Linked DNA regions of Cricetulus griseus. The protein of the gene in region 1 interacts with the protein of each later gene in a pairwise test. Links are inferred from orthologs where the notes say so. Each region holds a gene or a part of one and is shown in the gene's direction. Other genes may lie near its edges.

Region 1 (6,843 bases):
CTCAATCCCCACCACACACACAAATGGCTGAGGTACCTATTGGCATATCAAAAGCAGACGCTGTCCTCAGCTTCTCTCAGCATTGCTAGTACCTGTTACAGAGACGTCCTGGCTGGCATACCCCATGCCTTACCCTTAACCCTCCAGCCCCAGGCTGGGCTTCCTTCCCGAAGCTTCTCTGATTCCTACACAACCCAGCCATTTGGCTACACCAGTCTCTTTTCCTTTTTCTCTCTAGATCTCCAGGTTTCCAGGTACTCTCTTTGCCTCTTGGCCACACGGTCTGAGGCTCTTCCCTTAGCTCTCCTCTCCTGTCTCTCTTCACTTCCTCCCTTGCTTCCCCCTCTCTCCTCTCATGGCCTTGTTGTTCAGTCTGGACTCTTCCAGATACCTCTGGCTGTGCTTTCCCTTGTATCTACAATAAACCCTCTCCCCAACCATACCTTGGAGCAGTCATGTCCTCCTTTTAACATTTTTTCATTAATATTTCTCATGGTTATTATGGTTGTGATTACTTTACCTGTTTGTTTCCTAAAGAGAGAAAGAGTGATGGAGTTGGGTGAGCGGGGAGGATCTGGGAGGAGTTGGGGAAGGGAAACCTTGATGAGAATACATTGTATGAAACTTAAAAAAAAAAATTTTTTTAGATGCTTTGGTGTTTTACCTGCTATGTCTGTATGAAGGTGTCAGAGCCACTAGGACCGGAGTTATAGACAGTTCTGGCTGCCATGTAGATACTAGGAATTGAGCTTGGGTCCTCTGGAAGAGCAGCCTGTGTTCTTAACTGCTCAGTCATCTCTCCAGACAGAAAACTTTTTTTTTTTTCAATTAGAAAGAGGGAGGGAGGGAGAGAGAGAATAGAAAACTCCATTTCATATGATTCTTTTTTTTTCTTTTAGTTTTTCAAGACAGGTTTTCTCTGTATATTTCTGGCTGTCCTGGAACTCACTCTATAGACCAGAGATCTGCCTGCCTCTGCCTCCTGAGTGCTGGGATTAACGGTGTGCTCCACTACTGTCTGGCTTCACATATTTCTTTTCTGAACTTAAAATTCATATTAACTTTTATCAAGTTCCCACCTAAGACCTGGCATGATGGTGTACATACATACACTAGTAGCCACGACTGCTCAGGAAGCTGAGGCAAGGGGATCATTTCAACCTAGGACATTGACTTAACCTGAGCAGCATGATAAGATCTAGTCTTTAAACAAAACAAAAATTCTAAGACTGGTGGCACATGCCTGTCTATAATCCATCACAGGGGAGGCCAGTGTGGACGGAAAACACTTGATACTTAACTCATACTTAAATTCATACTGGCTGGATGTGGTGATGTGCACCTTTGATTCCAACACTCGGGAGGCAGAGGCAGGTTGATCACCAAGCTCAGCACCAGCCTGGTCTACAGAGAGAGTTCTAAGCTATCCACAGCTACAAATTAAGAATGCCTAAAATGGGGCGGGGGTGGGGGCGTACAAAGACCTGTTTGTTTCATCATGCCTTCCACATCAATATATTATTTTACTTAACATTTAAAAGCCACATTTATATATTTGTATGTGTGTGTATGGGCATTTGAAGGTTAGAGGACAATATGTGGGACACTGTGTCCTGGACACCCCTGAACTCAGATTGCCAGGCTTGTTGATAAGTACCTTACCCACTGAGCCATATTGTGAGCCCACAATATTTTATTTTATTCTAAATTCTTCTTTTTCCACTCTTCTTTTTGTCACAGTGAGGGCACTGCATGGGAAACCATGGGAAATTGGGACAAACCCTTACGCTGTTTGCAGCTAATGCAAGGGCCTTTCCAGGCATTATGTCACTGGAGACTCTCACCAACCAAGATTGATAGGTGTGCCCAAATTCTGAACCCCAAAATCACCGAGACCCATTCCAATGCAAAAGCAAAGAGTCTTTTATTGTTTAACTAGTTAACTGTCTTAACTGGGTTCCCTCATCTATCCAACACAGTAGTTGGTCTGAGAAGGACCTGAAGGGGCCTCGAGGCAGGGAATTTATTGGGGAGAGCGACGGGAGTGTCTAAGGGTATGCAACAGTCTCAGGATTGGTGCACTTCCAGGCTTGGATGACCTATTCTGTGTTGATTGGTCAACGGGTTGTTATGGCCCTCCCAGGGCGGTTGCTATACTTTGTATGCCACTGTTATGCCACTTTTACTGTAAAGCATGTCCAGAGCCTACCAGCTAACTTCTGATTGGTTCCTTGCCACGTGGAGGGTATCTGACCTCCTAGTGACTAGCACAGTCTGGCAAGGTCAAACATGTACATGTGCTGAGTCAGAAGCCTACATCTTGCTGGGTCTTTTCTGCAGCCTGTCATGGCTGCTAAAGCAGGGCACTGGGTGAGGGTCTGGTCCCTTCAGTAGGGTTATCCTCTGTTAAAGGGGGAAACTGGAACAATCAGAGAGGGAGAGTGACATGTCCAGGGTCACACAGGAAACAGTGGATCTCAGCTGACTTGTTGAGTTTCTAATTCAAGCATTTGGGATGCTGAGGCAAGAGAATTACAAGTTCAAGAGCCAGGCTGGGCTATATAACGGGACTCTGTCAGAAGGAAGAGCAGAGGAAGGTTGATTAGGGGTCAGAGTGTTGAATCCAGGGTGTTTGTTGTCTCTACCAGCTAGCTAGCCTGCATCTCCTTGGATGAGGGGAAGTACCTAGGGACTCTATTGAAGTACAGTAAGGGGACTTTCCATAAAAATAGAAGCCTTGGGTGTGACTGGATAGGAACTGCTGACCTGGCATGAAGCGTGTCACTGTCCCCTCCTCTCTCCTTTTTCAGGGTGTATGCTGCCACCAAGTCCTGAGTCTGAACCAGACTAGAGTGGTGGTGGGAGCAATGTGTAGCCATGACCTAGAGCCAGGCAGGGCTTGTGGCAGAGGTTGAAATGATAAGGAGTGGCCCATCTGAGGCCCTCTGCTCTCCCTGGCCAACATGCCAAAGATTGTGCCCACATCCTGTCTGCTCCCTCCTCCCCGAGAGGCAGGAGTCTTCCATGTGGAAAAACACAGCTGGGCCTGGGTGAGCCCTGTGAGGGAGGAGGAAGGGCAGGGTGTGCCTCTCTGCTCAGGGCTGGCGTCTGTGGGCCCAGTTCTGGGGAAAGGCCAGATTGCATCAGACAGGACTTGAAGGGCGGGAGCCAGCCTGTGGTCTGAGGAGGAGACAGCTTTATAAGCAGGGGTGAGGGAACTGGGTGAGGGCAGACAGCTGGAAAACAAGACACAGGCAAGACTTTGGAGAAGGCAGAGCAGGGTGATGGCTACCTTGCCACCAACAACCAGCTCCTCCCAGCAACCCCTAAACCCAGAGGATGAAGATGACATCCTGGATGAGTATGACCAGTACAGCCTGGCCCATCCTTATATCGGTAGGCCTGCTGGGCAGCTCTTTGACTTCTCATCCTCCTCCTTGGATTTGGATTTTCTCTCCCAGATTGCCTTCTCTAACTAATCTGCTCCCTACCCCAAAGTAAACCCAATCTAGCCTCGTATACTGAGTTCTGTCCTCCTCAGCTCTGAGGGCTCGCTTCTAAGCATCTCTCATTCTATACATTAGTAAACAGCAGGGATAGAGTGCCCCAACCTCACAGGGCGACCACCAGCTGCCCTCTGGCTGTTCTGCCCTTCTCATCCCTATGCCCCAGGCATTTGTCTGTCCTCTGAACCTCACACCTCTCCTCTGCCCGTGTCCCTTCTACCTGTTGCTCCACCAGTCGGGGGAGGCCGGAAAGGTCGTACCAAGAGAGAAGCTGCCGCCAATACCAACCGCCCTAGCCCTGGTGGGCATGAGAGGAAGCTGCTGACCAAGTTCCAGAACTCTGAAAGGAAAAAGGCCTGGCGCTGAGGCAGAGCTGGAGGTGAGGAGTCACGAGCCAGAGAGCCAGTAAAAGTGGCTTTGCTTAGGGTGACAGGCCTAAGAGTGTAATTGAGTAGGAAGTGGGGAATCAAAAGCAAGCCCTGGGCTGGTGAGATGGCTCAGTAGGTAAAGGCACTTGCTGCCAGCAGTGACAACCTGTGCTAGACATCTGGGACCCACATGATGAAAGGGGAGAGAATCAATTGCAAGTTCTCCCCTTAGGAGGACCCTGCAGGTATCCAGGCAGGGAATCGAGCCTGAGAAGAGATGGGAACGAAAACCTAGTGCAGATCAACTTTGTCAACCTGGATCAGGCTTCAGAGAGGCTAATACCAGGCGGTTCACTGTCAGCCTATTTTAAGCTCTGTACAATTTGGGAAAAGGTTTCCACGCAACAATCAATCCAATCAGTTCAATTCCAGTTGCACAATAAAACTTAAAGCGTGACTCAGTAGAGACTCCTTTACAAAGTACATGTAACCATGAGGATGGGTTCTATAGCTAGAAGACCTAGAATCTAGTGTGATCTCTGACCAACAGCATAGAGGTCAGCAGGCTGTAAAGTACTTGTGACATCTCCCCCCAAGGATGGGTAATGGTCTAGGGAGGGAAGAGTCTGGGATAATCACTTTGGGGAATTAGGGTGAGGCCTGCCTCCTGGTCACCAGGTTGTTAACAAACCCACTCTCAGCTTTCTGGATGGAATGCAGGTATTTGATTTCATCTCCTCCATTGAGGAGACACCCTGTGTGATTAACATTCCTGGTTCTCTTAGTGCTTCTCTGGGAGTACAAGGACCATGCCCTCAACATCCTCTGACCTACCTCCACATGCTCACAGAGACCCAAGCATATGAGAATACTCATGTGTAGATACTCATGCATGCACACTCACATTCCAGTAAATAGAAAAAAAAAATAGGGTGTCATCTACAGCAAGAATGAGACCCGTATTTAACTCCGAGTTCCACTCTGATGACCAGAATGGGGGAAGTTTCCCATAGAGCCTTTCCAATTGGGAGGAAATTTGGCTTACAGAAAGGGAAACTGAATCTTAACAGAGTCAAGTACTTCACTTAGGCTACAGAAAAAATAAGTAGGGAAGCCAGAATTCAAACCCAGGTCTCTGCCCCTTCCACCACCTGCTTTCTCTCTCCACAGATGAGGCCAGACCACAGACATCACACCCAGCAATGGAAACAGGACAACCACACCCAGCAATGGATTAGGACCTTGGAGAGATTAGGAGATACAGGCAAAGACAGAGACCTGTTTGACTCTTTCCTACCTAAGTGAGGTTCTAGAGAAGGGACACCAAAAAAGCCCTTCTAGATCCAGCAAAAGGGCACGATCGGAGCAACAATCAGGGCAAGAATGGGGGAACTAGTACCCCCAAAAAGAAATGTGAGAGAAACCAGACATAAATTGGAGCGCACCTACACCCATTAGGTGAAGTGCTGGGTACCCCCACTGCCACTCACTGTTTTTCTTTGTATTGTCAGTAATGTATTGCCTTGTTGTGTGACCTCCAAAATTAGAGATTTTTAAGTCAACTAAGAGGAAACAAGGGCTGTAAGTTTAGTCTTGGATTGGACTATGAGCAGCAACAATAAACAGTATAACAGCGACAGCTTTCTTGTGTTTTGTGGTGTCATCTGTTTTGTGTCTGGATGTGTTCATGGAGTGTCTCTCTTGGGTATGTATTGGAATGGCAGTTTCCTTGTTGTGTAGGACTGGAGACTGAGCAGGTCCTGGTACTGGTACCTTTCTGTAATGTATGCAGATACTTTTGGGTGCCTCTTTCTGTGGTCTCTTTGTGGGAAACTATTTTGTTTCTTTGCATTGCTACCCCGGAGACAAACTGTGGCCAGCCCCTACACATTCTCGTACAGGATGAGGTCATATTTAGATAAAACTGCTTTTTTAAAAGAGAATGTTACTATTAATACCATTTGCAAAATGAAAAAAGAAACAACCAAAGATTTAAAACATGGGGAGTATTGGCTGGGAGGTAGAGGCACACGCCTTTAATCCTGACACTTGGGAAGCAGAGGCAGGTGAATCTCTCAGTTTGAAGCCAGCCTGGTCTACAGAGTGATTTCCAGGATGGCCAGAGTTACACAGAGAGATCCTGTCTCCAAAACAAAATAAACTAAACCAATAAACAAAAAAACATGGGGAGGATTTTTTTTTTTAAGTGGGTGAGGGTTCAAATCCAAGCATGTAATAACAGGCTGGCTTCCAGGACAGGGTTCCGGTCCACTGGGGTAAAGGTTCTTGGTGGTTCTCAGGACCAGAGTTCCAGGAGAGTGAAGCAAATGAGAAGATGGTCGGAACCAAGTGTTCAGTTACTGAGGTCTGAGTTAGGGCTGCTGTAATGACACTGAGACAAAACCAGGTAGAAAGTTCTCTCACACAGAATAGCTCCAAGAGTAAATATTCCTAAATTACAGATGGCAACTCTATTGTACTGGGGCTCCTGCTACTTTTAGCTTACTGTCTGCCACACTCCATACATTTCTACTCTGAAGCCCCAAATAGCTGCTTTAGTAGCTGCCATCACATCTGCATCTCAGCCTGTGGAAAGGCAGGAAAGAGGTTACAAGAAGCCACACATATTTTCCCCCTTTCTGAGACCGAGGATCTCTTTTTCAGGCTGGTCTCAAAACTCCTGGACTCCAGTGGTCCTCCAGCCTTGACTTCCCGGGTGCTGGGATTACAGGCATTTATCACCACTCCCATTTTCCCTACTCATTTTTAAGGGCCCCATTTGAAAGTAGAACATACAGTGCTTGCTCACAGTTTAGTCACATGCTGCACCCAACTTGAAGAGAAGCAGGAAATACCATACTTAGCTGTTCAGTCATGTGCTAACCCAAGCTTGGGTGCAGGCGGGTTTTATTAGAGGAAGGAGAGGGAGAATACTGAAAAAATGAACAAGAAGCATCACTTATACTCAT
Region 2 (7,116 bases), on another chromosome or scaffold:
TCAAGGCTAGTTACTATCATTTTCCCCTTCACACCACACTTGCTATTCACACCCAGCCTCCCTGTGTCTTTGTGTTCATAAGGGACATGGTACCTGGAAGAATGCATGAGGGGAGATGCGGAAGGTCAGTCCCAGCAGGTCCTCCTGGATGCACTGGTCACCAGCCATATGCTCCAGGGGCAGGCCTTCCTGGCTGGGAGTCTTCCTACATGAGAAGCAGCAGATCTGTCAGTGTCACTGGCCTATCTGAATGAAGACTCTTCCTGTCCCCTCCTGGGCTCCTCACCTCTGTCCCTCCTCTACAAAGTAGAGGCAAGTCACTCCACTGGCCTTGCCTGGTCCTTCCATGAAATGGTATACCAGGGAGGCCTTCAGCCCTGCCATCTCCTCTGAGCTCAGTTTCTGCAGTAGAAAATACAAAAAGTCCATCAGACTAAGCAAAAGCCAACAAGACCTCCCCCAACAAGACCACTGCCTGAGACCTGGGGGTGGAAGTAGACAATGGCCATGGCCTGGCCTCTGCGGCTGGTACGAACAGTCAGCTGTTTCCAGTGGCCTGTATATGTCTCGGGGTCATATGCCAAGTATGGGGTGGACCTGAGGAAGCCACAAGTGTCTTTTAGTACCTAGTGTGAGCCTGTCTGTCCCAGCAGCCTGCCTCTCACCCCATAACTGCCAAGGCAAGGCCCACCACACCCTCTGCTCCCAGATGGATTAGGACTTCCCAGGAACCCATCCCCAGGCCAGGTCCCCACCGAATGAATTCCTGGAAGGCCTTCACCACCTGCTTAGTGGCCTCTGGAATGTGCACAGTGTCAAAGGGGGCTGCCACAGCACAAGTTCCACCCTTGTACTTGCCAAACCGGCAGCCAACAGTGTTGTCTTCTCCATCTATCCCAACTCCGACCAGAAACTCACACTTATTACGATATTCAGTCTGCAGGAGAGAAGGTGGCAAAGAGGCAGCCAGATCTCAACTTCGATTGCCCAGCACCAGAAGAAACACCGTAGTGAACAAGAGACCCTGATAGGGTTGGCAGGCAAAACAAGGTTTTACTGCTGGCTTGTCTAATACCAGGAAGAAAATAGCAAGAAAATGGCAAAGAGGATAAGGAAAGTTTATAGAAAATAGGATGATGATGGACTGGCCTAGCATTAAAGTATATACCTAATGTGTGATGCCTTGGGTTTTACCCCAGCACTGCATGACAAAACTAAACAAGGCCAACCTCCCTCTCCCCTTGCAATAGAATGAAGTTTTGTAGACAGCCTGACCTGCTGGGGTGATGGCCTGACCCCCTCCAGTGGGCAACAAGCCTTATTGTGTCGTTGTCTCTGAGTGAGCAGCCAGGGTAGCAGGGCACGGTTAGTGCTCCCAATTTCCCTGTAGAATGAAGCACATCATGGTTGGGGTTGGAGTTACACCGTTCCCCACCCACATGAGGCAGTTCCTTTGAGACTTATCCCACTGGTACCATAGGGGCACTACTAACTAGCTCCTTGGTTGATCACTTAGACTAGGTGGTTCTCAACCTTCCAAATGCTGCCATCCTCTGATACAGTTCCTTATGTTGTGGTGACCCTAACCATAAAATGATTTTGGGGGCTACTTTATAACTAGTTTTGCTACTATTACTAATTGTAAATATCTTTTCCAGTGGTCTTAGATGACCTCTGTAAAAGGGCCTTTTGACTGGCCCCAAGAGGACATGACCCATTGGCTGAGAACCGCAGACTTAGACCCTGTGGGTGTCCTGAACAGACTATAAGGGTGGTGGAGTAGGCCAAGAGCAAAACCCAGCTCTGGTAGGGACGTCAGTGCCACACTCACTTGGCCAGTTTCTGCAGCACCCGTTCACATTCCTGCCGCTTCTGCTCCAGCTGCTCGGAGTAGGGTACTGTCCAAAGAGGGGTCACCACGTCGGCAATCTGTGTAACTGATGGCTCACCATCACCTTCCTGCCGCCTCTTTCTAGCCATGGGGTCAGCCTTGGGTCGAGCCAGGCGCACGCTGAGTGGGCGGCCTTTCCAGAGAGCGCCGTGCAGCACTCGCAAGGCCTTGTCTCGTTCAGCAGCGCTGCGAAATGTTACAAAGGCACATGGTGGTTGTCCAAAGAGTTTGATTTTGTGGGATTGTAGACCAAAACGGCCCAAAAAGCGCCGGACATCACTGAAGCTGGCATGGCGAGGCACATTTTGCAGCTCCAGTTTAAAGATCTCTGAGGTGAACAGATCATCTCTTATGTAGCTGTAGAGCCCAGGCTGAGTTGCAGGCCCTGCAGCTGGTCCAGACTGTTCCTGACGTTCTGGGACTGCAGGGCTGTGTACTGCACTGGCATCTGGGCCGCAGCCCTCCATGTGCTCCCGAGCCTGTGTGGGGACAGACGGGCCAGGCTGAGGGCTGTAGCTAGCATGACTATCGCCTTGGGCTAGCTCCCTAAACCACACTGCCAGATCTACATTAGAGCACACTACCCCCAGCCCTGCCCAAACCCGCTCCTTTCTCCCACCCTAGCTCTGTTCCAACATTAATGACTGCTACCCAACCCCACCAGGTTCACATCTTCTGCATCTCTCTCCCTCTGCTTTACTTCCGTGTCCGGCTTCTCACTCATCGCCAGGCTCGTCTGCCGCCCGGACCAGGGTGCTCACGAGGGCCACCACCTAAGTCTCACACACGAAGTGCTCAGGAATTAAGTGTGACGCCGTAAGGGTATACCCCAGCTTCTCCTTACGCAGGAGAGGGTACTCAAAACTCGGGTGCTCAGAACTAGCACTGAGCACTGGTGATGCACCATCCGCTGCCCACAAGCAAGGGAGAGACACACGCCTCGCCTTCCTCTAGTAGGCCAGTGCACACCAGCCGCGCCTGGCTTCTCGAAGGGCTCGGCTTCCGATGACGTCACCGCCACGCGCCGACTCCTGACTGATCCTTCCACCAGCCGCTCACACTGACGTCAGAGACATTTAGGGCTTGCCGACGGAAGTGCGCGCGTGGGTCGCCGGGAAAGCGCGCTCCCCAGGTTGAGGCGCGGCCGGGCATGCGCCGCGGGCGTTTTGGCGGGAAGCGCGGGGTGGGCCGGACAATGAATGTCCGCCGTCAGAGCCAATAAAGCTGCAGTGGTTTTGAATCACGGCGCGTTTCCCGCCGCTGGGGTCAGGGGTCAGGGTTCGGGTCGGGGGGCGGAGGGAAGAGAGGACGGGCGGGAGACGCCGGCGCCAGACGCGGAGGAAAAGGAGCTGCGACTAGCCCGCCCAGAGGCCGCCGAGCCGCGACGCCTGAGCCAGTCGAGCCGCCGTCGCCGCGCCCCCATGGCGGCCGCCAAGGTACGGCGAGGCCCGGGTGGGGCCCGGCAGGCCGGGAGGCAAGGGCCGCTATGGGCGGCCACGTGGGCGGCCCGCGCCTCGGCCGCCAACCCTCGCTGGCCTGCGGGTTCGGGGCCTGTCGAGGCGCCGGGACCTGGGGGTCTCGAAGTCTTTGGGTTCCGGGAGTGGGAGCTGCTGGCCAAGACTCGGGTCTCGGGGGCTGCGGGGCGGCGCGTGACCTTGTGATGTGCGTAAGAGAAGCCATCACCACACCGGGCTCTCGGCTTTGCCTGGGGGCCTGGCAGCAACCGGTTTCCTTCGTCTTGGCCCCCTTGTGATGTTTCCACCAGCATCGGGAAACCCTTCTTCCAGTTGCCCACAGATCCTTCATTCATTCGGTCATTACGCCTGGAACCGCCACCTCCTTCGGTGGCGGAAGCTCGCGTTCCAGCGCGGGGTACAGATTATTAGACGCGCGGACTCAGGGCGGGGGCGGCTTTGTTGGTGGCTCGCGTGTCGGCCGCAGCGGAGCCGCAGTGCTGTGAAACCGAACGAAGGGCTTCTATGTCTTTATCCTGTGGAGTTAGGTAGTGTGAGTCTGGGTTTTTTTCTGTATTATCAAAGCACGTGATCTTGTCAGATTTAAACCTGCATGCCCTTGCAATCCTTCAAGCTGGGTCGGGATCTTAGGGCTTATTTGTCAGTTTCTTTCTTTTCTTTTTTCTTTTTTTTTTTTTTTAGCTTCTTTCAGCTTAAATTTCCAAGCGTGTAAAATTGCTGGAGGAATGTAAATGCTAGTAGTCCCATAGCAGTTTATCTTCCTAGTAAACTAACAAGTGCTTGGATAGTCCTCAGTAGAAACTGTTAAGGTTGCTCTTCCGTTTGAAATCATTTACAGAGGAGAAAGGGAGTTTCTCCCAAGCTACTTTGCCATGGACTGTGGTATGTGTGTGGAACTGATTGATGCTTGGATGTGCAGGGTGGGTGTTATAATCCATTGTCTTGTTGCATGCTATCTTGTATCTTGTGATTTTTGTGATGCTGTAAATGCAAACTGGTGATGTCAAAGACAGAAGACTTATTTTCCAGTTTAGGGGAGGCCTGTCTTCATTTTCCAGGTGCCATTTGTGATTGATGATGGATGCCCACTGTGGGCCAAGTTCACCAGCCAGCTGCATTATCTCTCCTTCCCTCTCTGCACAGGATAGTCATGAGGACCACGATACCTCCACAGAAAACGCAGATGAATCCAACCATGACCCCCAGTTCGAGCCAATAGTTTCTCTTCCTGAGCAAGAAATTAAAACACTGGAGGAAGATGAAGAGGAACTCTTTAAGATGTAAGTCTGCTGAGGTGTCCCTGGAAGTATCTTTAGATGGGTTGATGAGACAGAGAGAAATGGCCCAATAAGAAGCCGGTCACAGGGCATCTCTTTAAAAACTTGTAGAACCCAACAATCACAGTGGGACCATGTTCTCCTCTTTGCTTTCTGGAGGAGCCAGCCAGCCAAGCTAGGAGCTCTGCTGGATATTGTTTCTCTTGTGCTTGAGTGTAAGCCCTCGTGGTACTCTATGGCATTAACCTCTTTGTGATCTCTGTCTGGAACTTTGCAGAAGAACCCTGGGTTGACTGGCACTTTATGATCCCTGTGAATTTCACGGCTTGGCCCCAGTTTGATAAAGGCTGTTTTAAGAAAAGGTCTGGAGTTGTGTGGTGACTAGTCTTACATTGACAATTCAGCCATGCATCTGCCAAACCTTTTCCTGCTGCCTGTGCTTCCTAATGGCCAGTCATGAAAAGGGTGTCCCCATCATTGTTCTGTCACCTGGGTGTCTCCCCAGTTGATCTTGCACCTTGCCTCTAAGAATCAGCATTTCAGCAGGCTGTGGTGTTCACACCTGTAATCCCAGCACTTGGGAGACAGAAGTAGATACATCTCTGGGTTCTAGGGACAGCCAGGGCTACATGATGAGACCCTTTCTTGGGGGATGGGGGCTTCCTTCCTTTGTTGAGCAGGGAATCTTAACTTTCTTTCCTTTTCTTCCTTTCTGCTTTGTTTTCTGTTGCCTTAACTGGGTATCCTTAAAGAACAGGTTTGTTTAGCTCTCGTTTGGTTTTTTTGTTTTTGTTTTTTTTTTTTTTTTTTAATTTTTATATGTGTATGGGTGTTTTGCCTACATGGATGTCTCTACACAATGTGCAGCCTGGTGCCCAAGGAGGCAAGAAGAAAGCAGCGGATCCCTGGGGACTAGAGTTACAGACAGTTTTGAGTTGCCATGTGGTCCTCTGGAAGAACAGCCAGTGCTCTTAACAGCTGAGCCATCTCTCCAGCCTCCAGCTCATGGTTTTGCAGGTTAGGAAGTCTGAGATCTGAGAGCATAGAGCTAGCATTTGGTATGGGCCTCAGTCATGTCTTAATGTGGCAGTGTATAATGTAGTAAAATCAAGGAACTTGCTAATTTCAGTCTGTCTTTTACATACCCACTAGTGCCATTGTTCAGTCCTCTTGATTCCATCTAATCCTCTTGACCTTCTAAAGGACACTTCTAAATATTATTAATATGAATTTGGAAATTAAGTTAATGCCTAAACCATAAGGTCACACGCATTCAAACCTGTAGTCTGCATGTGCCTGGTTCTGTGTCTTACACAAAATGCCAGTAGAAGTGGCTTAATTATCAAAATTGCTTTTTAAAGATTACCTTGTATTTGCCACTTGGAACCTTCAATGAGGAACTGTAGCAGTATTTTAGTAACTTTGATTTTGCTGTTGTCTTGTTCTACTGGCCCAGTGATTGAACTCATGCTAGGCATATACTATAGTGAGCTATATCTCCAGCGGGCCCCACCTTTCCAGTTCTATACACCTGGTCTTGAACTTGCCATTTGCTTGCTTTAGCTTCCTTAATATCTGGGATTACAGACCTGTGCCATCACCCAAGATAGCTGAGCATGAGCTATCGTGTATCTAGTTTCACATCACAGCAGAGACTGGCTTGTTGTTGCCTGTGCTCGGAATTGCTGGACACTGGGTTCAGGTACATGCTAGCAAAGATTGTGTGTTGCTGCCTCTGGCATCTCCCTCTTTCAGGTATGTCTAAAATGTCAGATTAAGGTTCATGTGCTCTGAAATAGGGGAGGGAGCCCTGCTCAAGGAAAGCTATAAGTACACCTTTGTACCCAGAAGATGATGAGCCAGATTGCTGTTCTGCAGCACTGGGCAAGGACGGCATCCCTGGAGTTAGGTGGTATTTGATTTTTGACAGTTCAGTGCTGCAAGACTCCTGATTTCCTGCGCAGGGTCCTTGGTGTGTTTTGGGGGCCAGAATCTTGGGTCTTACATCAATCAGGGCTTTTGGGTTTTTCTATTAAGGAGTTGGGTGAAGATGTAGGCTCCTTTGACAAAACTTGAGTTTGGAGGAGAGCAGAGGCTTTGACAGAGAAGGAGAAGCAGATGAGGGCTACAAAGGAAGGTATTGACTTGGCTTGAGGAACAGGAGCACTGGACTCTACTGGTCTAGGTGCCTGAACCCTGGGACTATAAAGGTTACTCCTGACAGGAAGCTGGTGCTGGGCTTTGTGTAGCTAAAAGGCACCCATGTAGTGTGACTGCGTCACCCAGCTCTCAGGAGCTTCATTACCCACTCTTGAGCCATGTGTGCCCTTAGATGCCTCTCCTGGGGAAAATGCTTCTGCTATGAATATCTTTCTGGTTGTGAAGTAAACGCAACATGGAATGTGCTAGGCTATTTGCTTCCCTGGGTGGTGTTTTCTCACTAGTAATTCTTGGCGCCCAAAGGCCTTAGAAA

Evidence for each region.
Region 2: the proteins of Nupr1 (region 1) and Ranbp1 interact in a two-hybrid assay, tested with the Homo sapiens proteins (2 studies listed by BioGRID and IntAct). The link is inferred for Cricetulus griseus from reciprocal best matches to the Homo sapiens genes NUPR1 and RANBP1.

What each region holds. Positions count from the first base shown.
Region 1 is NC_048596.1:74,153,496-74,160,338, forward strand, and holds Nupr1 (nuclear protein 1), read left to right. Parts: upstream 1-3,196; 5' UTR 3,197-3,284; coding exon 3,285-3,396; intron 3,397-3,741; coding exon 3,742-3,872; 3' UTR 3,873-3,885; intron 3,886-5,044; 3' UTR 5,045-5,272; downstream 5,273-6,843. UniProt on the Homo sapiens protein: Transcription regulator that converts stress signals into a program of gene expression that empowers cells with resistance to the stress induced by a change in their microenvironment.
Region 2 is NC_048597.1:71,005,357-71,012,472, forward strand, and holds the start of Ranbp1 (ran-specific GTPase-activating protein), read left to right. Parts: upstream 1-3,168; 5' UTR 3,169-3,312; coding exon 3,313-3,327; intron 3,328-4,509; coding exon 4,510-4,646; intron 4,647-7,116. Other genes in the region: Trmt2a (tRNA (uracil-5-)-methyltransferase homolog A), read right to left, coding at 94-205, 287-402, 483-597, 756-937, 1,276-1,384, 1,832-2,370, 2,553-2,615. UniProt on the Homo sapiens protein: Plays a role in RAN-dependent nucleocytoplasmic transport. Alleviates the TNPO1-dependent inhibition of RAN GTPase activity and mediates the dissociation of RAN from proteins involved in transport into the nucleus.